Drosophila melanogaster: one gene and its partners. The gene in region 4 interacts genetically with the main gene of each other region. Each region holds a gene or a part of one and is shown on either strand. Other genes may lie near its edges. The genes, in order: l(3)mbt, twin, bam and nanos.

Region 1 (7,981 bases), 8.1 Mb from region 4:
CGCTTGGCTTGCACCACTTCCGCGACCTTCGGGTAGACAATCTCTTGTTGGGAGTCCTCCTTAATGGCTTGCTTGGCCTCCGAACAGGCACGCTTTGTTTTCTTCGCCCATCCACGTCTGATATTCTCGGGGGCCACACGCGGCGGTTTCACCGTTTTGGAGCGCCACTGACGCCAATTTTCCGGCGCATACGGACAGCATTCCCGCAAAGCATGCACGTTGAGGTTGAAGCGCTTGGCGTTGCCAAATCCCCGACATCCCTCCACATCGCAAGGCATCACGGACTTGGGCTGAAGATAGCCAGGCGGGGTTTCCAGTTCGTGCGAGGTGGCCTCGCACCAGCCGATGGGGTGCAGATCGGGACTGTCGTCCTCCAGCCAGAAGTAGTACTCCGTGGGCCAGCAGTCCAGGTGCAGCTGAACCCGGTAACCCTTCCGCGTCACCACGGTGGCCGGACGAATTAGGCAGGGATTACGCTGGTCCACCACCTCCAGTTTCATGCGTTCCTGGTACTCCATTGGCTGGCGTGGTGTGAACAGCTCCTTGGAGGCGGCCATTCCACCAACCTCTGATATGTAGTCATCCCAAATGAAGGCAGACTTCTGGTAGTCCGGCGGAACGATCAACTGCTGGCGTCCCTCGTGCCAACCGCAGGGATGGATGTACGGTGAGGTGATGTGTACCCACAGGTCGTAGCAGTCATCCCAGCCGTCGAAGTGGACTCGAATGCGCTCGTCCAGAATATCCGTCACTGTGGCCACACAAATCTTTCCCGTATCGTTCAGGTCCTCCGCCTCGAGATGCATGCCCACAGCGAAGCCGTTGCGCACATCCATCTGCTGCTGCATATTCAGATGACCAAAGAGCGCCCGCGGAGCTGCCTTGCCGCCCGTTTTCACCAAATAGCGGCTCCAACTGAAGCGCTCCGAGTTGTAGTCCTTAGGCGCCTGCAGAACGCGTGCTGTCTCATCGCACCAGCCTGGCGGAAAGATGTCCTGCGAGTCGGCGTTCACCCAGAAGTCGTACATGGAGGAGTAGCCATCGAAGCTAAGCTTCAGCCGATAGCCGCGCACCTCGACAATGCTGCAGACACAGAAGAGCGAGCAGTTCTCCGGATCGATGGCCTCTAGCTTCATGCCGATCTCGAAGCAGTTGGGACTGATGGGGAACGGATTGAGGAACAGGTGGATGGGCGCTGCCACATCCTTTCCCTTTGACTTGAGGTACTCGCTCCAGCGGAATGGCTTTCTGGGCTTATCCTTTTGACGTTGCTGCAGCTGTTCCTGTATGGCAGACAGAGATTTGTGTGGTTTGTAGTTGGTTTGCCGCTTTTGTGGCAAATCTGGCGCTGTTCCAGCTGTTTGCTCTAGTTGGGTACGGCTTATCTTGCTCTCCTTCTGCGTACTCTGCGGCAGACGACGCTTCTGGGATCGACGCACACAGCCAACGGAGCAGAAATCTGTAGGAGAAAATAATATATAATATATATAGAGTTTGGGGACTTTGGTAGCTGCTCTCTTTACTCACGTGGTGCCAGAAAGTCGGCGGCGGGTCCGTGGAAATTGCAACGCTGGCACAAGTACAGCAGCGGATGGACGCAGGCCGAGGGCCTGCGGCCCGGACGATCATACAAAGGCCGCTCGAAATATGCAGCTGGACCCTGGCGTGGCTGGCAGCGTTCGTTTATCTGCAGAAAATTGAACTCATTCAGCTCGAACCGGACGGTGGAGTTCTGCAGGTTGGCCGGCTGCTGGCCGCGCCATTTCAACATGTTCAGGTTCTGCATCATGCTCTTTTTAAAGTCATTGGTCTTGCTGCTAGGAGATGGGTTCGCATCATGGTCGTTGGCTTTCTTGGCATTCTTTGCAGGTGGACTTGATGGCTTCGGATCGGCGAGTTTGGGCGGCGGCGACATTTCCGATGCGTGAGAGCCGCTCGAGGATGAGGAGGATGACTTGGGCGGAGTTTGGGGCACCTGCTCATCGCAACGCAACGAGCGTTCAAAGTCCTCCCTGCTCAGTGGCAGAGATTCCGCCTTGATGATGCTTATGCCAGGCAGCATACTGAGTTCCTTCTCGGTTTTCTTGGTCGGTACCACCTCCACATCGCTGTAGGACGAACTGTCGCTGGAACTAGAAGAGATTGTCGTCACGGAGGAGTTCTTTCTCACGGCCTTTTTCTTGGCCGTACTGGTGGTGGAAATGGTTATTCCTGCGGGCAGAATGGGCATGGGGATCTGCTTCTTCTTCGGCGCCTCCTGCTTTTCCGGCTTCTGATTCTGCTTCGGCGTCTTCTTAATTTCCGGCTTCTGCTGCTCTTCCTCGCTCTCATCATCGTCTTCAATGGTGATGGTCTCGATTGCCGCACTGGGCTGCTCGATCACATCCACCTCCTTGGCCATAATGGCCACCGAGTGACGTCGCTCGTTGTTGGCCACAGGCGAAGCGGGATGGTTGGACACGAAGGATTTCGACCGCTTTAGTTTGGGCAATTCCTTGGGCCCACATGGCGTATGTTGAGCGATTTCCTTGACCACCGGTGGTTTGTCCATTGTCTTCTGTTTCTGCTCCTTGGCAGGCGCCTTTTTCTCCTTGGCTGGTCCATTTACGGACATCTCCAGAGGTTTAGGAGTTGGTTTGGGTGCTGTCTTGATTGAGGGCTTTGCAGTGGGCTTAACGTCGACCTTCTCTGGAGATGTAACAACTGGCGCCACTGCCGGCACAATGGGCGCTTCCTGGCTGGGCAGCGGCACTGCCTTGATGGCCACGGGCTTGGACTTAATTAGGCTCATTTTGTTGTTATCGGCGGTCGGCACCTCCGTGGCAATGGGCATAGCCGTTTTGGGTGCCACAACTGGCTTCAGTTGGCTGGCACTAGTATTCTGTTTGTTGTTTTTCTGGGTGCTCCTGGTCTTATCCTCTCCACTGGGGTTCGGCGATGTCAGAAGTTTCTTCACATGATTGGCCTTGCCGAGAACGAGTGCATTTGGGTTGCTCTTGACCTGGCTGAACTTTAGACGCAGCTTATCCACCGCCACCTTGCTGAGTATGAGTGGAGCACGTGGCTTGAGGGGATTGGCCAGCAGGGATACCTGCGCACCCGGACCCGTGCTGGGAATCTGGACAGGTGTCGCTGTACGGTTGCATCCAAATGGAGAGCAGAAATAAAGAAAGATAGAGAAACACGAATTAGCTTTGAATTTTCTTTAATTAGTCACCCGAAGGCAATCCGATTGGATCCTCCATTGAACCCGAACCCGAACCCGATCCCCGCACCGCCGCACCCTCACCGCACCGATCGACTGCGCTCTGACAGTGCTGATCCAAAATCTTCTCCTCTTATTGCAGCTGCAAAAACCTGATCGTCATCATCAGTGTCGCTTTGCTGGTGCTGTTGTTGTTGTTGTTGTTCTCGCTGGCACCCCGCCTTTTGCATACTGCTATTGATAAAACCAGCATATATACATCATATATATTGGAAATAGCAATAAGTTCTTCGTGTTGCTTCTCCAATTCGTACCGACCCAGTCATGGAACATGGCACCCACCCAATTCGATGCTTGGAACTTATTTTCCGAAAATGGCACACGAACACAAACCCTATTAAATTGGTGTTATGAAATGTGCAGCCGTCGAACAACAACTAAAAACTAAACCCGCAGACTGATGTGAACAACGAAAGTAAACTATAAAGATTGCCCCGCACCCCACACGCACACTCACACACACACTCGCGCACACACACACACACACGCACACTTTTGCAAGAGTGTTTCCCATTTTCCGACTGGCCTCGGATCTGGGGGATCTGTTCTTCCTCTTCCTCTCAGACTGGGGAAACCCACTTGTAACTCATAACTTACATAACTCGGAAGAAGGGGAAACCGAAACCCTACACTTACCCGCTTGTATTTTCGGTGGAACGACCGTTTTGCCCACGAGCGTTAAAGGTGCTCCTCCAGTTCCGCCTCCAACGGCGGCTGCTGCAGCCGATCCTCCTGGCTGGATGGGCTTGTTGCTGGTCTCAACGGTCAGGCTGTTCTTGTGCAAAGGTGTTCCGGAGCGTATGACCACCGGTTGGCCATTGGATGCACCTCCGCCAAGCAGCGTGGTCTTGCGATTGGGGGCCAGAATGGCCACCAACGGTTGGCTGGGATTACTGGGCGATGGCACCAGCTGGAACAGGGGAGCATCTGCTGATCCGACAGTGGCGCCAGCTCCAGCGGACTTTATGGAATTTGGCACTATGTTGACCGACTTTAGTTTGGATTTCATTGGCTGGACATTGCTGATGGTGATGTTGCAGGTCTTGTTGCCGCCCATGGGCGCCAGGGGCAGGAAGCGTAGCTCCTCCTTGCGCGGAGCTAGTGTGAGGAGGCTGTTGGGATTTGGATTTCCGCCGGAGGCAGAGGCAACACCATTGCAATTCGCGGTAGATGGTGAGATGACTCCTCCATTCGCTGGCGACATGGACAATGATATATTGCGCTGGAGCTGCTTGGCCTCCGCACTGGCCATCGACAATGGCAGCATTTTGAGCCGTTTATGCTTAGAGCTATGGATTTTTGATTTCTTTTTTAACCAGCGGAAATCGAAGTTATATTCTTGTCTTTACAATGTTTGTACGTTGAGGCGCACAAAAGTTTTTGGCATTTTACACTCCACACCGGCGTTAGTATTTTTTTGTATTCCCCCTTTTCACAAAACTATTTGGCAATTTGTTATGTTCTCGATCGCGCGATTTGTGCTTTATATCCGTATATTCATCAATCACTTTTCTCTTAATCAAAATCGCAGAAATTGTTAAGTTTTTGAATTAAAGTTATTGTTTCGCGCGTTTCCTTGCTCTCATTGTTCGTGTTTCTCGGTTCTGATAATATACCAACATTTGGTATTTAAATGCACAGATTGCGAATTAGTTTTAAATATTTACGGTTACTTTGGGTTTGTTATTACCTGAAAAAGGTTAAGTTGGATTTAGTTTTGGATGCTATATAAGGATTTTAAAGCTGCAAAAGCATGGTAATCAGAAAATAGCTAGCAGGTAGCAGTTGCTTTGCAACTTGTATGCATATTCGCTGTTAATAGCCAATCGCCATCTGTCCCAATAAAAAGGGAAATATCTAGCAGCTTAAAGTCATTAGTTACAATACCTGTGTTATCCTACCTTAATATTTCTGTTTATTGCGCTTGCTTTTTTTTTTTTTTTGTTTTTACAATTTACCCGCGGCCATTGGGCAAAACCTCGTTGCCCCAGTACGGCCACACTGCACGTATATTGAATTTTGATACCATTTTTAGTTATGCTGCCCAAAGATTTATGTTATCTCAAAAACGACTAGAACCTAAAAATAGCTCCTCTGGGCTTTGAATCCCATCTCACGACCACATTTACGAGCCCTTGATGGCTAAACCGATCCGATCTCCCAGCCCCATGTTACGTAGCAGCCCACCCAATGTCACAATAACTGAAACCTCTTATCTTGGTTCGGATGAACCACTGGCCAGGGAATTTGGTCTAGGGCCCATGGAATGCGTCTTCATTTTTCACTTTCAGAGAGTCTACAGGTTCCGCTGCCAGGATCCAACTGTTGACTTACCCGCACGCGATTCGTTTTTGCCCGCGGAGCGAAATGAAATGTACAGCCGCGGAGGAGGCGGAAACCAGGATATCGGGATGCTGTTGGCTTGCCGAACACGGCTGGAATGATAGAAGTTCAGAAAGTCAGGTCGCGAGTGTCGAAAGGTGGGCCAGGATATGTAGGCTTACCTGCTTTAACCGTATGATTCGATTGAACTGCAGTTTGTTGCTGCGAGGGTGTTACTGCTCGTTCGACCTCGTAAATGCAGGCAAAAACGAATGGCCAGCGAAATCGGGCGGAAAATCTTAACAATTTAAGCACATTTTTCACCAGGTAAGCCAACTAAAGCAGCTCGAAACATTACGCAGTGCCATCGAAACGGAAGCGTTCTGTCGTTCAACAATATTAAAAACTGCAAAAGCATGTGTGTATTTTAATTTCTATGATCGAACGGCTCAGGTGGCAACTCTGGTTGCCGATTCGTGTGCGCCCGATGTCGGTTATTTTGAAAAGGCGGAAATAAAATGGTAAATAAACGAAGCCTTTCTTGTTTGGTGTTAACTGTTTTGGAAATACGCTACTTAGCAGCCTTAAATGCTTAAATTAATATCAAGCGATGGCTTTACATGTACCTGATATTGTAAAATAAGTGCAGAGGAAAATTTCGCAATATCCAACAGAGCTTTTTACCTTCTCGGAACAATTTTAACGAAAAGAGTTTGTCCTCTGAATAGTTGTATATATTTAAAACCGCACATTAACTTAGCAACTTTATCAATATTTAATTGCTTCAAAGATTACAAAATACAGCTTCTTCTTCTTCTCCTTAAACTTCTGTTAGTACTGGAAAACGCCGCTCATACTAAACAACGGCAGCGCCAGCAGCTAGTGTTGGCCAACTTCCCAAAGGGTAGTTTTATTTTCGTGTCAATTGTTAAGAGAAATTTGGCAAAAGTGAATAGAGTTTAAGTTTTATAGAATAAAGAGTACCCCTGAACACTGCCAGCCATGTCCCTGTTAAACAATGACGACAGCATTCCCAACATGGACGAGGATCCACAGGGTAAGTGAAAACTGGAGGGAGTGGGTGGAGTCCCGAGTGATGATGTTATCAATTGCTAATCCCCCCCAAAAACGCAGTGGTCATTCCGGACGACGAGCCACCGGCGACGGGACGAATGCCCAGTGGGAGGTCCATGGACTCGTTGCGTTCATCGTTCACCAACCGCAGTTCCACGCCAGATTCATCGCACAATTCGCTGGAGGCCATGGAAATGGCCCAGGACGATCGGGAGGAGAAGGCCCGCCTCATCACACAGGTCCTGGAGCTGCAGAACACCCTGGACGACCTGTCGCAACGCGTCGATTCCGTCAAGGAGGAAAATCTGAAGCTGCGCTCCGAGAACCAGGTGCTCGGCCAGTACATCGAGAACCTGATGTCGGCCTCATCGGTGTTCCAGTCCACCAGTCCCAGTGCGGCCAAAAAGAAGTAATCTTCTATAGTCAATCGACCCACCGGTACTGGAAACCAAAAACCTTCTCAAATATGCCTTCTCGTTCACGCTAGAGCTACATGTATATTTTAATCTGTAACACTCGAAATTAAGCTATTGCAATGTTATTTCAGTTGCCCGATTGTCGAATTTGTATTTGTTTAGGCTTAAGCTTATGGCGCGCTATGTATTTTATACATAGAAGTAATTAATTTATATAGATAATTAATAAATCAATAATACCCCACGCAATTTAAGAATTTGAAAAGGAAAACGGGATGGCAGCACTGCCAATCCAGCTGCTTTTAGAGGTCGCTTTACTAAATAGCCATGATCGAATTGCAAAACTTACAACAGAGTGACATTTTTAATTAAATAATAAAATGTATTTATTTGTATAAATCTTAGCAATTATTAGAAAAACACCTGCTCACATTTTATTTGAAAATTTTGAACTGCCTACCTACACAACGGCCTGGCAACTTTGGTCGGCCAGCTGTTCGTCGTGGTCGTGCAACAACAAATTGAGCAGTGACTTTTCGTATTCGAATAACGTAGAAAGCGTGTATAAGTCGTAGTCTCTGCTCGGAACATTTTAAAACCAGTCCAAAACTATAGGAAAAACAAGAAAAGTGATCGTGCTTACACCAGAACAGTTGAACGTGCAACAAAAGTGATTGCGAAATACACTGCAAGGTGTGTGTGTGTGACTTGGTGCTCTAGCTGTGTGTGTGTGGGGAAAAACAAAACATTTGCGCTGTGGTTTTTGCTTTTAACAATGTTTGTTTGAGTAGGAAATTCCAATTTTAGTGGCCATTAATGGAACGCAAACATTTAGTTGGCCTTCCTTTGTATTTGCAGTTTCTATTTTGTATCTTCCCCTCCCGCTCGCAATTGTGGATAAAAG
Region 2 (4,978 bases), 5.1 Mb from region 4:
AGCACCGGTGGTGCCGAATTCTGATAGCGAAGGGCTCGAGATTTGTCAGCCAACTTGAAAGCAGGCTGACTGCTCATCGGCTGGTAGCCACTCCAGTTGTTGGTCACAGGATGATGGTGATGTAGTGGCTGGTGGTGCTGCATCTGCTGTTGCTGGAGATGGTGCTTGCCATTCTGCTGGAGCAGCGGCATGCCCTGGGCATGCACAGCCAGCTGGGACATAGTGGCCCCTCCAGGTGGCCAAGTTGGACATGTTTTAAGGGCGGATTTCCTCAGCAATCTCTGTCGCTGGGCTGGCGACAAGTGACTGGAGGCATTCGAGATGAGCGGTATGCCGGCGCACTCATTGATCCGCTGCTGATTAACCACTCCATAGCCAACTGGTTGAGGTGGTTGGCCAGCCGACTGAGCTGCCCAATTGGGCGGTGGTGCAGACGGCGGACCATGATGCAACCTGTACACAGGAGCTGGATGCTGGCTACCCGGCCAATGGCTCAACGGATGCTGGTGGTATCGCAAGGACGCGTAGTTGGGCGGCGGTGGTGGTGGTGCTGCTGATTCTGGCGCCCTGTAAACGGCCACATGCGATCTCATACTGTTTTTGTCTTAGTCCCAAACTGAATCCTGTCGGCGGATCGAGTCGATTGCACATCACTTGGCCGCTTGGTTAGATTATTCGACTTGAGCGAGCCACCTTTCAGAGAGGCATTTCGGTTGGCCAACAGTCGAGCGATTCCACCGCAACGAAATGAAAAGCGAACGCCAAGAAACTGGGACACAACGCGATCGCAATTACGAAACACACGGCGCATGCGCGACGCTCGCGAACGGGTTTCCAGCTGAAGAGAGACTGAGGAGCAGAGTGGAGCTAGTGCGTCCGCCTCGTAGCCAAGCGAGCGGCAGACTGAAGTCAGCTGCTAACGCGATCGACAGCGAAGCCCGGCTAACAGTAAAAGCCGTTAAGACAAGTCTCTCTCTCTCTCTTTCTCTTTCTCTCTCTGTCTCTTACGTTCCACATTGGGTCCACACGAACACTCTGACGCTCAGCCACCGGCTCTCTTTTTTGGGCCAACTTGCATCGGAGAGCAGCATCTCTTGGCTTTTGCATGTCGAGGTCGTGCAGTTCTTTTGGCCAAGTCCGCCAATTGTTGTAATTGTTGCATTCAATTAGACATTTTTAATTGATGCGCGGGCATTATGTTTTTTGGCATTAATGGGCAGCCGTGAGTTTGAACTTTAATTATGGCTTTGGCAACAGGTTTTATGACCTATCCTGGTGCGGAAAAACATTAGCTAACAAACTGCGTTTGAAAATGGACGAATAAATATATATTTCTGCTGTTACAACCCTACTATATATAAATACATCGAAATCGTTTTTGATCCCCAAAAACAAAATTTTCCAACATGCCCTAAACTTCCTAATAAATATATATTTTGAGCAGTTACATAAAGAATTTTTGCTGATAACACATGGAAAGATTATCTCCTACTTTAAGCTTCCTTTTTTTTATCAATAAAATCCCATCAAGCCCAGTAAGATAGTTAAAATACCCTTGAGTCCGTAGTTTCTTCGAAAACTTTCTCTTTTCGGAAGCCTTTTTTCGCGTGCTTTCCTTTTTACCCCAAACATGCACACACGCAGCCAGACACACACCTGGTCAGGAGCTGCTCACGCACCGGGCGCGCGCACACACATACTCAGGGATTTAGATAGACATGGGGGGGACTCACATGACAAGTTGTCCAGCATGTAGGTGAGCAGTTTCTGCGTGCCGTTCGGTTCGTTGTAGATGTTCATGAACTCCTTTTGCAGCGGATTGCCCATGAGGCCGAGTATGACGAGGTGGAACAGCTTGCCGATCTCGTAAGGCAGTACGCGCAGAAAGTTGTTGTTCAGCAACAGCTCCCTAAAAGGAGGCAAGACAATGGAGTGGCTTAGTGAAAAGCATGGATCAGTGATCAATAGGGTCTGCGCCCAGACAGCGATTTCACAATAGATCAACTGCTAAGGGTGCAATAGAGTATGAGACATAATAATAGGACTAAAATACGATTTAACAACGTAAATCATGTCCTATGCCAACCCACAAACTCACCGCAACTGGATGAGCTCGCCGAGCTCTGCGGGAAGACTTCTTAGCTTATTGCTGGACAGGTCCAAAGTTCGGAGGCTGGTCAGCATGCCAACGTCTGCGGGCAATCGCAGCAGCTGGTTGTCGTTCAGGTAGAGGGCGGTTAGATGCTCAAATTCCCACAGCGACGGGCTGATATTGCGGACGCAGCCTGTAAACAGATGTATGGTAGAATTAATATGATATTTTTCGGGATTAAGTGTGTGATACCCACCAGTAATCTCTAGGCCACTCCAGTTCGTCTTCTTGCCCGCAGCTATGTCCTCCTGCGACAGAAAGATCTGCTGCCGCCGATTGGCGCTGTCGTATTTGTCTTTGTTACGAGACATTTTATAATGATTGCCTGTTCGGTATATATAGAAGAGAGTTATATTAATATATGTATAAGGTAAGAGATAACAAGTTAAAATCTGGAATTGTTTCAAGGAAGTTAGGGCTCATGTTAGGAGACAAAACCTCGCTTAGCAACAAAAATGAATGCTTTGAGTTTTAGCTTAAATGTATCTAGGAGTATTGGAATCAAATCATAACCTTTCATAATAACCGCCTGATGATAAGCGTCTCTGCAAAATATTAATAAAGTGGTTTCCATTATTATTTTGTATTAGTAAACAAAGGTGGGTCTGAGGTCCGGGTTTGGTTTACATATACAGCTAAGGTAAAACTAATAGCAGTTCTTAAACATTATTAATTAAAATTTAAGTACAAGGTAAAAGGTCGATATGGAAAATACCGCCAAACTCAATAGTTGGAGGATTTTAGGAAAAATCTTTATATTTTATTAATAAATAGCATTGGATATGTATTTTGGAACGTTGTCTATGCACCTTTTTTTAAAGATACACATATTAGGCTTTAAAGAACTGCTATTGGCTTTCGCACAGCTGCGGATGGTAAATTGTAAATCATAAATAAATGCAAACGAAAATGATTTTGGTAAGCGCGCGCAAAGTGCAAGCACCAACACACACGCACACACACGGACGCGTAGCACACACAGAAACACTATACAGTTAGAAAGAAGAATGGCGTGGGCGGGCAAAACAAGAAGAAGAAGGAAAGCCGTATGTCGCATATTGAAAATCGTGGGTATCAGGAACCTGTGTAGGATTACCTGGCTCAGTTCACTATTCCTAGGAAGTCACCTCAATCGGAAATTCTGGCTCAAATTTACTCGCCGTCTCTCCTCGTTTCGCGCGCTCTTTTCGCTCTCCGCCTGCACTTACTCGAGGATTTTGAAAGAAAAAGGAAGCCGCAGCTGGGGATTCAGCAATATTCGATATTCACTGTGAAATTTAACCGACTTCTACCGTTTTTGGTGCCTTTATTTGGGTCCTATATTTGTTATTTTATTATTTTGCTGCTTTTCGTTCGTGTTTGTCGGAACAGAAGCGACGATTCTGCTAATCAACCTATTCGTTTTGGATCGCTCTTTCTTCTGCTGGGCCTCTGCTTTTCATTTATTTATCACGCGACTCGCTTTCATCGTCGGTTCTTGTTTTTGTATACATGGTGAGCAGTCGGAGTTGCCACTCGGTTTTATCAGCGGACGGTATCACGGCAAGATTTGTCCAAAATGCGTGCTTATTCGTCCAACTGAAGTCCGGCCTAGTGTTCTGATAAAGTGTGAGACAACGTTTGTTTGTAAAAAGAACTACTCAAATGGGATTTCAGTCAAAACAAAACAAGAGCACATCACACACAAGACGCACACATACACACAAGACGCACACGCACACAGATGGTCAAAGAGGTGCAGGGCTGAAAATAAAAACACGTAGATATTTCGTACTGTTTGCTTTACTAGCCACTTTTTTCGGTCAATGCTTTTTGCTGAGGACTCGGCTTTCGACGCGATATATTTTATGTAGTTTAGATCTCTGGATGGACGATTTATTTGTGAATTTATGCTGCTGCTACTATGTGTAAACTTTCGTTCTTCGCTTTCCTTCGTTTTCCATTTCTCTTTTGTGCGCTGGTTTGGCGTACGCGGAAATGCCCACTTGCTGTTAATCGGCTATCGGAAAGAATTTGCAAGCAGGGGCTCCAACTAGCGTATTGAGAAAGTAGCTATATTTTGTATGACAGTTAAGACCCCTGTTTTTTGAATTGATATTTTTTATAGGATTGAAATCAGGAGCTTTGAATTATTAATTTGTAAAATAAAATGAGTTTATTTTGACAGCAAACGAAAATACTTAGCTAGAATCGAGCTAAACCATTAAAATCTGTAAATACTGACTAATCGATAACCTTACAGAGTTTCGATAGATCCATTAGCCGCGAATGCCCTTAAAAAGTTGTAATTTATTTAATTTAATGTTGCGTGTTTTTAAAAAAAGGTTAATATGTCGGGGACGCAAATGTCTGCCTTCCTGAGAAAGTATCTAGCCGACGAGGACAAAAAAATTCGTGCGCAATTCAAAGAAAGCGATCCTAACAACAAATTGATTCTATGGATGCACGAAAAAACGGTAAGACGCATTTCATTTTGTAAATTGAAATTGTATATTGTATAGTATCCTGTATTTGAAGAGAATAACCGAGGAGGACTTGGCACGCCCATACACCGAGGACGAGGTAAAGGAGCTTTGTCTACGCACCAAAGTGAAGGTTGATATGACCGCTTGGAATTGTCTGTGGGAAGCCAAAAAGAGGTTTGAAGCAAAAGGACGTTTTGTGAACAAGTCTGAGAGATTCATCAACCGAATGTATATGAAAGCGGTGCGCAGAAAGATGGTCCAACCGTATCCGGAGGAGTTTGTGGCCCAGCGAAGAGAAATAGTTGCAGCCGAGACTAAGAAGCAGAACATCAGCCGATTGGATAGATGGCAAAAGAAAAAG
Region 3 (4,117 bases), 6.1 Mb from region 4:
AGGGATCTCAGCCGCTCCATCGAGCTGGTCATGGAAGTTCCAGAAATAGGAGTCAGAGGACCCTACTCGGTGGACGGAAGAATACTCATTCTGCCCATCACCGGAAATGGCATTGCTGACATACGCCTCAGTAAGATTTGCCTCCCACAGCTTTGAAATCTAAAATTTTTAATGTGTTTCTGGAATTCGCAGCTAGAACAAAGGTACGTGCACAGATCAAATTGAAGCGCGTCTCCAAGGGCGATCATCAAACCTACGCCGAGGTGATGAACATAAAGGTTGAGCTGGATCCATCCCATGTGACCTACCAGCTGGAAAATCTGTTCAACGGCCAGAAAGATCTCAGCGAGAACATGCACGCGCTTATCAATGAGAACTGGAAGGACATCTTCAATGAACTGAAACCGGGCATTGGCGAGGCCTTCGGACTGATAGCCAAGTCGGTGGTGGACAGGATCTTTGGCAAACTGCCGCTCGAACAGCTCTTTGTAGTCTAAGACCTTAGTACAAACACCCTAATTAGTCCAAACACAAATCGTAAATATTTATTTGACTTTCAAAATACAAATGCAAAGCAAATAAGAAAAACTGGTAAGTTCCTCATACAAATAAAACGTAGTTGCAAAATAAATTCAGGCACTAAAGGATTTCTTATTTCTAAAGTTTAAGTAAAATACAGATTTATAAAAGTGAAAAGCAAACACATTTGTAGTTTTGCCAAATAAATGTAAACACAGTTAAACTTATATAAATTTGTTATCAATCTCAAAACAGGGGTAATAAATCGTTTTCATTTTGATTTTGTTTGTATCGATTTGATAAATATTTTTAAAAAGCTTATATAAGCTTATTCACGAATACAAATATGGAGTCCGCACTATTGGACAAATATATCTTACACTATAGATATGTTTACTTTACGAAATTATTGCTTCCCATGAGAAGAGTAGCTTTTTTAAATTGCATATTTGCTGTCATTCTTTTATCGATGTGCACAGCATTAGTTTAGCTTCTGAAGCGAGGTACACGTCCGGTGTGACGAGGTGGCGATGATGGCACTTCCTCGGTCTCCTCAAACTCCTCCTCCGACGCTGACGGCTGCTCCATGCTCACTGCGCCAAGCTTCTGTGGCCCGCAAATGGCGACAACACTGGGCGGGAAATAGGTCTCTGGATTGGCGATCAGAGCGGAGAGGAACTCATGCTGCTCCAGAACGCAATAGATCGGACCTCCCAGTTTGTATCTCTGGGCGATGAACAGATCCTCCGCACTGATTCCACGCGCTTCGGCCGCCCTTAGCTCGGCACCGGACAAAAGGATGGCCCGCTCGTTCAACGACTTGTGGCTTTCGGTCATGGCCCCGGAGTAGCGGTGCTCCAGATCCATTTCCCAGTTAAATACGTGCACACTGAGATGCGCAGCCTTGATCCAATCGCGCAGACCAATTAGCAATCTCTCCATGCGCTGAGTATGGACTGTAAATAATAAAATCGTTGCAGGAATAGCTGAATGGTTGCTTGCAAATCTACAGCTTACACTTGTCCGCATTGCTCCCCGAGTTTCCGTTTCGATTGCGCATTTTGGGCTTTAAAAGCAGTTTGAAGTTGTCCAAATAGGATGCGAAACCCTTAAGCAACTTGTCACACTCGTCGTATTTCTCGAAATCGAAGTGGCGATTCGCCTCCAAGGTGCGGCGCTGCTGGACAAGGAAGCGCTCTACTTTGGTGCACAGCACCTGCAGTTGGTAGCGCACATTCAAGCTCTTAGGCATCGTGCTCTTCACCGGCATATCGAACAGATAGTCCGAGGGCATTGAGTTTTGGCGCGAGAAGCCCAAATCGGCGGTCAGGTGATCATGCAGGGATCTGAACAGATTCATCAAACGCAGCACGGCGTTGTGCTCTAAGCTATTGTTTAGATAAGGAGCTTTTTATTATGTGATATATTTGGGATATACTCCAGAAGACTCACCAATCGCCGTGCAGACCAATCATATGCAGTTTCTCAATAGTTATGGGCAGTTTCTCAATATTATCCGCGGACGCAGAGCCTTTACTCTTCCGGTTCCACACATTTTCCTTCTGCAGTTGCTTCTGCTTTGGCCCGGTGACCAACACGCCTCCGGATCGCGACTTCTTGGCCGGAGAACCGTCGAATGCAAAATGGCGCGAGCGCTTTTGAATCTGTTGCAAGCAATCCAAACCGTGGAATTCGAGGAGTGGTGCAGTAACGTCACACAACCGGAGTCTACCGAAGTTCTCCTGGATTTCGGATAAAACGCCCGATGTGCAGGTTGCACCATCTTCGTTCGTATCCTCGTACTCACAAGTGGCTTTCCTCGGATCTTCGTTTTCATTGCCTTCCACCATTAAGGCCAAATGCTCCTCCATCTGCTTAAAATTGTGGTCCAACTGCTGGTCGTCGTTGCCCTCAGGACACACGTCACGTGCATTAAGCATTATTCTTAAGTTAAATCACACAAATCACTCGATTTTTGCCTTTTAAATCTTTCCTTATCGCCAGGTTCTTTTTACCGTTTGAAATGCCTGACGCCACGCTGTCTGCGAATTCAGGAGAAAGAGGAAGAATGATGGCGTCCAGACTCTTTGTTGTTAACGTATCGATATCATGTCGAGTCCCAGAACAGGGTTGCCGTCGCACAAATAAGTTTCAATTTATGGTCACCTCAAAAGGTCATTGACCCGGGCGCATTTAAAGAAATTTGAAATGCGATTCAATAATCCATTACGAACTTTACATTTTAACTACAATTATACACACTGATTTGGTCGATCACAACCAAATCAAATTGCTGATTAATTATAAAACAACATGCAACAATTTAGGCCACCTATATTTTAATTATCTAGTGGTTTTGTATAAAGCAAGCCAAAGCATTATTTAACAATTTGGGATTTATCACATTTTGTATAAATTATCATATATCGTGACAATAATAATGAAGTAGCAATAACCCATTTTCATATTCAATTTGTTTTTGTAATTCTGACGACGATAAGCTTCTAAAATTGCGCGCAAATTTAGAATAATGTATGGCATCCCCACTTCCTAACATCTGGCAGCTCCGTTAATATGACAAGCTTAGCTTAGACACAAACCAGTATACATTTTACATTTGTTGGTTCGAATACTGACTAGTTAAACAACGTGACTATTTTCATTTTTTTAATTATAAATATTTAAATAAATAAATAAATTCCGCTTCCCAACTTCTATAAAACTATACACATTTGATTCAATTTTTTCCAGACTGACGCAGCAAAATTTTGGCGCTCATCCAAATAAAAATAAGACAAACAAGCTAAGTATATGCGATCCGAATAACCAACCATTCTAAAGATTTTTTGAGTCGGTTACAAAATTCTTGAAAAAATGCTGAATGCCCAATCATTAGAAGCCTCACAAAATCTCGATTTAGAGCCTATGAAACATTCTTTATTGTTGTGAAGTTAATCAATGGTTAGATCTAAGCATAACTAGTGAAAAATTCCTGAAGTTTTGCCGCACAAGGGTATTTGCACACACAAGAGCTTCCATTATGGGCGGTTTCTTATCGGGGAACCCCAGCGATTGAGCTCCACTATCTATCCTGTTGGCAATTATCCACTTTCTATAAACAAATACGACAAGAACTGTTTTTTTTTTCACTTAGCCGACCACAACATCGTTAATTCTTTAATTCACAAAGCACAATGAACCAAAGGACCGCAGCAATTGAATTACAAGCTTTCTCTCGTATGGGTTCTGTGGTTTCTTTACGTTTTAGAGTTTTTATTAAAAAATTAATAATTTGTGGTTCATCGCGAGTCCCATTTTACTGTGGCTTCCTGCGGAAGGAGCAGCCTGAAAGAAAGACATCGTTTGGGTTAATTGCGAAGGAACATTGGACAGTGAGCATTTGGAGCATACCTTCTGTCAGCTTGGCGCGTCCTCCAGTCGGCTGGCACAAAATGGTAGCGCATCCAGCGCAGACCACGACGCCTTGGGCGTGGCTGAAGACGGTGGTGATCCTGTAGCAGCCGGGGCACTTCACGTCCATGAAGTACGAGTTGGGGTGCTGGACCAGGCGCTTCAGCTTGTGCTTGCGCTTCTCCTC
Region 4 (5,243 bases):
AGTGAGTTTTATATTTATATATTTCACAATGAATATTTAAAAAAGTAACACGTTTGAATTTCAGCACCCGAACGCTTTCCGGACGTAGAGTACATCCTGGTGGACCCTAGTTGCTCTGGCAGCGGAATGCAAAACCGCATGACCGTGTGCGACGAGCCGAAGGAGGACAAGCGGCTGCAAAAGCTGCAGGGTTTGCAAATTAAGATCCTGTCGCACGCGATGGGCGCCTTTCCGAACGTCAAACGCATTGCCTACTGCACGTGTTCGCTGTGGAAGGAGGAAAACGAGCAGGTGGTGCAGCGTTGTCTTCAGCTAAATCCATCCTTCAAGCTGCTCAGCTGCAAGAAGGCCTTGCGCAACAAGTGGCACAATGTGGGCGACAAGGACTATCCCAATATTGGCAAGAACGTCCTGTATTGCCAGCCGGACAGTGATCTTACCGATGGCATCTTCCTGGCCCTTTTCGAGAAACGCCGCGAGGGCGAAAAGGATTAGTTGTTTCAAACGCAAGAAGGACATTTGTTTCCTTAAATTGTAACCATTTCTTTATTTGGCACTCGAGCCATTGAATTTTTCATTTTCAGAATATGTGTACACATTTTTTAAAAAAATAAAAAAATTATATAATGCTGGCGGTTGTTTCATGTGTGAAAAATTGATCAATGGTAAACAAAATTGAATAAATATATAACATATATATATATATATATATATATATATATATATATATATATAGATATGTGTGTTGAAATGAATACTTGCGATACATGTAATAAAAATACTCTTCGCTTATCTATCAAAAAGTGCGGAATGTCAAAATTTAAAATTTTACAATGAATGCGTAGCCGACGACGAAAGTGTTCCTTGCTATTTCCTTTAGCAAGATTTAAATTTAGATTAAATTCTAATGATACGATTGACAGTTCGAAATTCAAAGTGTTCCTTTTTCAAAATTTAGTAAAGATTGTAGATCAATTGTAGATATATCGAAATTTTTCGGCCGCAAGCGAACATTTTACGAAATGAAGGCGACCAGTTGCAGACCAATTCCATTCATCAACTTTCGGATTGTAAGATATTTCTATCGGCCACGACGATTGAACAAGTATTACGATATTGTAAGTCTTCTTTAACAAAATTAGTTTCCCTTTCACAGAAACAGACATAAATTCTTGAATTATTGACTTGGATTTGAGTGATCGTTCGTTGTCTATACTATAAGATCTATAGGCACGGGATAACGCTCTAAATCTCTTTAAAATCGAACGCGCCAGGCGCTATTTAAACGTTACTATCTATCTATCTGGTTAACCCAGCTTTGATCGGAATGCGTATATATATTTCATGTTATATAAACGCTGCAAAAGCTGCCAGAGCCTCTGCTCCAGAGCTGGATTCGCCCTCTCTAAACCTTCATCTGTTGCTTGTAGTAACTGCTCTTGGCTAGGCGGAACGATTCCGCCTTGATCGCATCCTCCATGGTGATGATCGGCTTCTTGGGGCAGTACTTAATCGTGTGCGCCGAGTCCCCAGATGCCCCGCAGATGGGGCACACGTAGGTGCGTAGTTTGGGGCACAGCACTCGGTTAAAGTTATCTCGCACTGAGTGGCTATTGATAACCGCCTCTGGTTCGTTGTTATTCTCACAAAAGACGCAGTGGCGGCTGATCTGTTGGAGAAACAAGATAACAAATATATTTTGCAAGTTTTAATTCTGCGAATCCTGGATCAGATCCACTCACCTCTTTGGCCTTGCTGTTGTAACGCTTGTACACCTTGTTGTTGTTGTTATTATTGTTACTGGAATTGGAAGCTCCGCGCAGCTGTTCGCCCTGCACGGGCAATCCCAGACCCATTCCCACGCCGAGATTGGTGGACACAGTGGCCGCTGTTTGGGCCTGCAAACCCATTGTATTGGGAGCGGCTGGTATATACGACATGTTTCGCCACACGTTGTTCAGATGCTCCCGGTAGTTGTTCAGCCAGTGGGTGGCGAGTGGAATGGGCATTAAGTTGCCGCCATTGGTCTGCAGCTGGGCAGGATTGCGGCCCAGTGGCAGGTGCAGCCCCTGCTGTTGCTGATGCTGCTGCTGCGGTGGCATTTGCACCTGTGGCGGAGCACTCCCGTAGGACATGCGACCGAGATCATCGCTGGCATAGCCATTGGTCGCGAACTCCTGCATCACATCCTGCATCGAGCCAGCCGCATTTTCTGGGAATAGCAAGCTTTTCATTACCTTGTCCTGAACGTATTTTTTTTATTATTCGCGTTTCAATTGCATTTCAGAAATGTAATAAGCAAATACGGATTAGTTTTTGCATACAAAAAAAAAACAAGAACAGACGAGAAAAAGCAAAGAACTTCTAGAAAATGTAAGACGCAAAATGGCTTTCCGAAGTTAAAACAAAAAGGAATAGCGAAAATGCTAAGGTCAATGGCCGAAAATTCAGGGGCGCTCGAAAAACCTCTTGAAGGGGATACAAGTGTTGGGCAAAGATATATTTTAAAGCACATACAAAATAGTAAAATAAAAAATATACTACACTAAATGGCGAAAATCCTCTGACCTCTGCAGCAATTATACATTTACACAATTTTACTTCTGTTTTGCTCTGTGCTTTCGTTGCCCCTTTAACTAAGCCCATGGCCATTGACTTTGGCATAACTGTACTTGTACAGATAGTCATCTCGCTCCCGCGCACTGTTTTTGGCTATTCTGTTTTAAACGACGCCATATTCGCCATTTCTTCTTACCTGCTGCGCCCGTCGTCACCTGCGCAAAGATTTTCAAGGATCGCGCAATCTCGTCCGTTTGCTGGTGACTCGCACTAGCCGCTGCCGCTGATGCAGCCAGCGCCAATTGGTGCTGCGCCATGGCCAGTTGCTGCTGCTGCTGGAGCAGCAAGTGGTAGTGGTACTGTCGCTGCATAAGGAGCGAATTGGCGGTGGCTGCGCTGTCGGCCAGAAAAGGGAAGTGCGTCGACTGCGCAGACGTCGACGGGTCAGGGGTCACCGGCGTAATGGGCGGACTCAAAGTGGCCGACGAGTTGGCCCCACTGGTATCCAAATACATGTCCTGCAGGCCCAGAATGTTGAGCCCTCCTCTGGCGTGAAAAGCAGAAAAGTTATCCTGCAATTGGAAAATCTTTCCAGACTGAGCCAACGAGGGGGGATTTGCAACACCTACTGCTGCTGCGCCACTGCCCTCCAAGTTGCTGCGGAACATGGCGAAAATCCGGGTCGAAAGTTACGGTTATCGCGCACTCTACTTTCCACAAATCCTCACCCAAAAACCAAGCACAGTTTATTCAACTGAAGTATTCGCGATACTTCTTTATCTAATAATAATGTACATGTAACTAAACTCGCTTTTGGGTTAAAATCGTGACGCAGAGGCAAAAAAAATCGTATGTCCCTTAGACAACTTGAAACAACTGCGAAGCGTACGGCAATTCCAGGAATTTTGTGGTAAAGCTACGCGCCAACTAACGGTTCTTGCTTAGAGGTGGAATAATGTAGTTTTCCAGCGATAATAAATATATCGATATTTTTAGTAAAATTGAAAAGGTAAACTTAATTTTAGAAAATAATTTATAAGAAATTTAATAGTATGCAAAATAATTTTTACTTGCTAAGAATATGTGCCACTAATTAAAAGCTGGACACCGCGCAATGGAAAATAGTACTACAACACAGCAACAAAGCCTGAGTTATCAACAAAAAAATACGAAAACATCTCCCAAAACTAAGCACCCACACGCGCCACTCGCCGTCACAACACAATCACTGCACACCACCATTCGAATTTCGCGCACTGTGACAACATCACATGATATCGGCGCGGCAACATCGGATTACCGACAAAACGAACTATCGCACGAGCCACCGCCGGCGAAGAGCGCTCGTTTTGCAACACCGGCGCGCGCTGAACGAAGAGAACAGCTGACTGCTTGATACGTGCGTGTTTCGCGGCAGGAATTACATAAAGTTTAGAGCCTCTGACGCCAGACCCCCCGAACATTCGCTCCGATCAAACTACCTGCGAACGGTCACCTAATCCCCACCATGGTAGGTTACCTCTGATCCCGGTCATCACTGGCGTTCGCTCACATCCGTCCTTACATGTGCATATTTCGAGGTTAAAACGGTCGAAGCTTTCAATGATTTTTTCTCCTTGCAGTACAGAATAGCTGCCCTTGTGCGGGATCGCGCCTGTCTCTTCACGTGCCAGCAGGCCTCGCAGAACCTGCAGCAGCAGCAGGTTAGAGTTTGGCTCATAAAACCCCATGGCGCAACCGGCCTAAGTCATGACTTTACTCCGCAGCCCCGCTTTTATAGTGCGCCAGGTCGCAGGGCCGGCTTCTTCTCGCAGTTCTTCGACAACATGAAGGCGGAGATGGATAAGAACAAGGAGATCAAGGACAATATCCGAAAGTTCCGTGAGGAGGCCCAGAAGCTGGAAGAATCGGATGCCCTGAAATCGGCGCGGCAAAAGTTTAACATTGTCGAATCGGAGGCGCAAAAGTCGTCTAGCATGCTAAAGGAGCAGCTGGGCGCCATCAAGGAGCGCGTAGGCGATGTTCTGGAGGACGCCAGCAAATCCCACCTGGCCAAAAAGGTTACCGAGGAGCTCTCGAAGAAGGCTAGGGGGGTCAGCGACACGATCTCCGACACCAGTGGCAAGCTGGGCCAGACCAGCGCATTCCAGGCTATCTCTAACACGACGACGACCATCAAGAAGGAGATGGACAGCGCGAGCATAGAGAATCGTGTCTATCGTGCTCCTGCCAAGTTGCGAAAGCGCGTCCAGCTCGTCATGAGCGATAGTGATCGCGTTGTGGAGCCCAACACGGAAGCCACTGGTGAGTCTCCATCTTTTTCCTTCAATAAGATCAAAGGTCATGGCCATAATGTAATGTTACTTTTCAGGTATGGAGCTGCACAAGGACTCCAAGTTCTACGAGTCGTGGGAGAACTTCAAGAACAACAATACCTACGTGAACAAGGTGCTTGACTGGAAGGTTAAATACGACGAGTCCGAGAACCCTGTTATTCGTGCCTCCCGCCTGCTGACCGATAAAGTGTCCGACGTCATGGGTGGACTCTTTTCAAAGACAGAGCTTTCGGAAACGATGACGGAGCTGGTGAAAATCGATCCGAGCTTTGATCAGAAGGATTTCCTCCGCGATTGCGAAACGGACATCATTCCAAATATTCTGGAATCGATTGTCCGTGGGGATCT

The links.
Region 1: of nanos (region 4) and l(3)mbt, changing one suppresses a phenotype caused by changing the other (phenotypic suppression), as found in Drosophila melanogaster (2 studies listed by BioGRID).
Region 2: of nanos (region 4) and twin, changing one enhances a phenotype caused by changing the other (phenotypic enhancement), as found in Drosophila melanogaster (one study listed by BioGRID).
Region 3: of nanos (region 4) and bam, changing one suppresses a phenotype caused by changing the other (phenotypic suppression), as found in Drosophila melanogaster (one study listed by BioGRID).

What each region holds. Positions count from the first base shown.
Region 1 is NT_033777.3:27,267,242-27,275,222, forward strand, and holds the start of l(3)mbt (lethal (3) malignant brain tumor), read right to left. Parts: upstream 6,033-7,981; 5' UTR 5,770-6,032; intron 5,701-5,769; 5' UTR 5,600-5,700; intron 4,956-5,599; 5' UTR 4,533-4,955; coding exon 3,902-4,532; intron 3,133-3,901; coding exon 1,528-3,132; intron 1,460-1,527; coding exon 1-1,459. Other genes in the region: CG5934 (uncharacterized protein), read left to right, coding at 6,590-6,644, 6,722-7,074.
Region 2 is NT_033777.3:24,217,867-24,222,844, forward strand, and holds the start of twin (twin), read right to left. Parts: upstream 3,019-4,978; 5' UTR 2,982-3,018; coding exon 2,962-2,981; intron 2,698-2,961; coding exon 2,666-2,697; intron 2,478-2,665; coding exon 2,349-2,477; intron 2,286-2,348; coding exon 2,099-2,285; intron 1,910-2,098; coding exon 1,734-1,909; intron 853-1,733; exon of another isoform or gene 594-852; coding exon of another isoform or gene 1-593. Other genes in the region: CG17786 (uncharacterized protein), read right to left, coding at 1-593; cav (caravaggio), read left to right, coding at 4,042-4,059, 4,477-4,608, 4,670-4,978.
Region 3 is NT_033777.3:25,242,518-25,246,634, forward strand, and holds bam (bag of marbles), read right to left. Parts: upstream 2,593-4,117; 5' UTR 2,460-2,592; coding exon 1,972-2,459; intron 1,908-1,971; coding exon 1,537-1,907; intron 1,476-1,536; coding exon 1,006-1,475; 3' UTR 522-1,005; downstream 1-521. Other genes in the region: CG11854 (uncharacterized protein), read left to right, coding at 1-130, 193-497; RpS27 (ribosomal protein S27), read right to left, coding at 3,836-3,864, 3,931-4,117. UniProt on the Drosophila melanogaster protein: Regulatory component of a deubiquitinase complex consisting of bam and otu. The complex deubiquitinates K63-linked polyubiquitinated proteins, antagonizing the ubiquitination activity of Traf6 and regulating the IMD immune signaling pathway.
Region 4 is NT_033777.3:19,155,485-19,160,727, reverse strand, and holds nanos (nanos), read right to left. Parts: upstream 3,491-5,243; 5' UTR 3,228-3,490; coding exon 2,756-3,227; intron 2,213-2,755; coding exon 1,743-2,212; intron 1,670-1,742; coding exon 1,406-1,669; 3' UTR 1,119-1,405; coding exon of another isoform or gene 1,023-1,118; 3' UTR 526-1,022; downstream 1-525. Other genes in the region: Nsun5 (Nop2/Sun-like domain containing protein 5), read left to right, coding at 1-1, 65-495; CG11779 (uncharacterized protein), read left to right, coding at 1,023-1,118, 4,182-4,262, 4,326-4,863, 4,931-5,243. UniProt on the Drosophila melanogaster protein: Maternal RNA-binding protein that is required for germ cells proliferation and self-renewal. Acts by forming a complex with pum and brat that regulates translation and mRNA stability.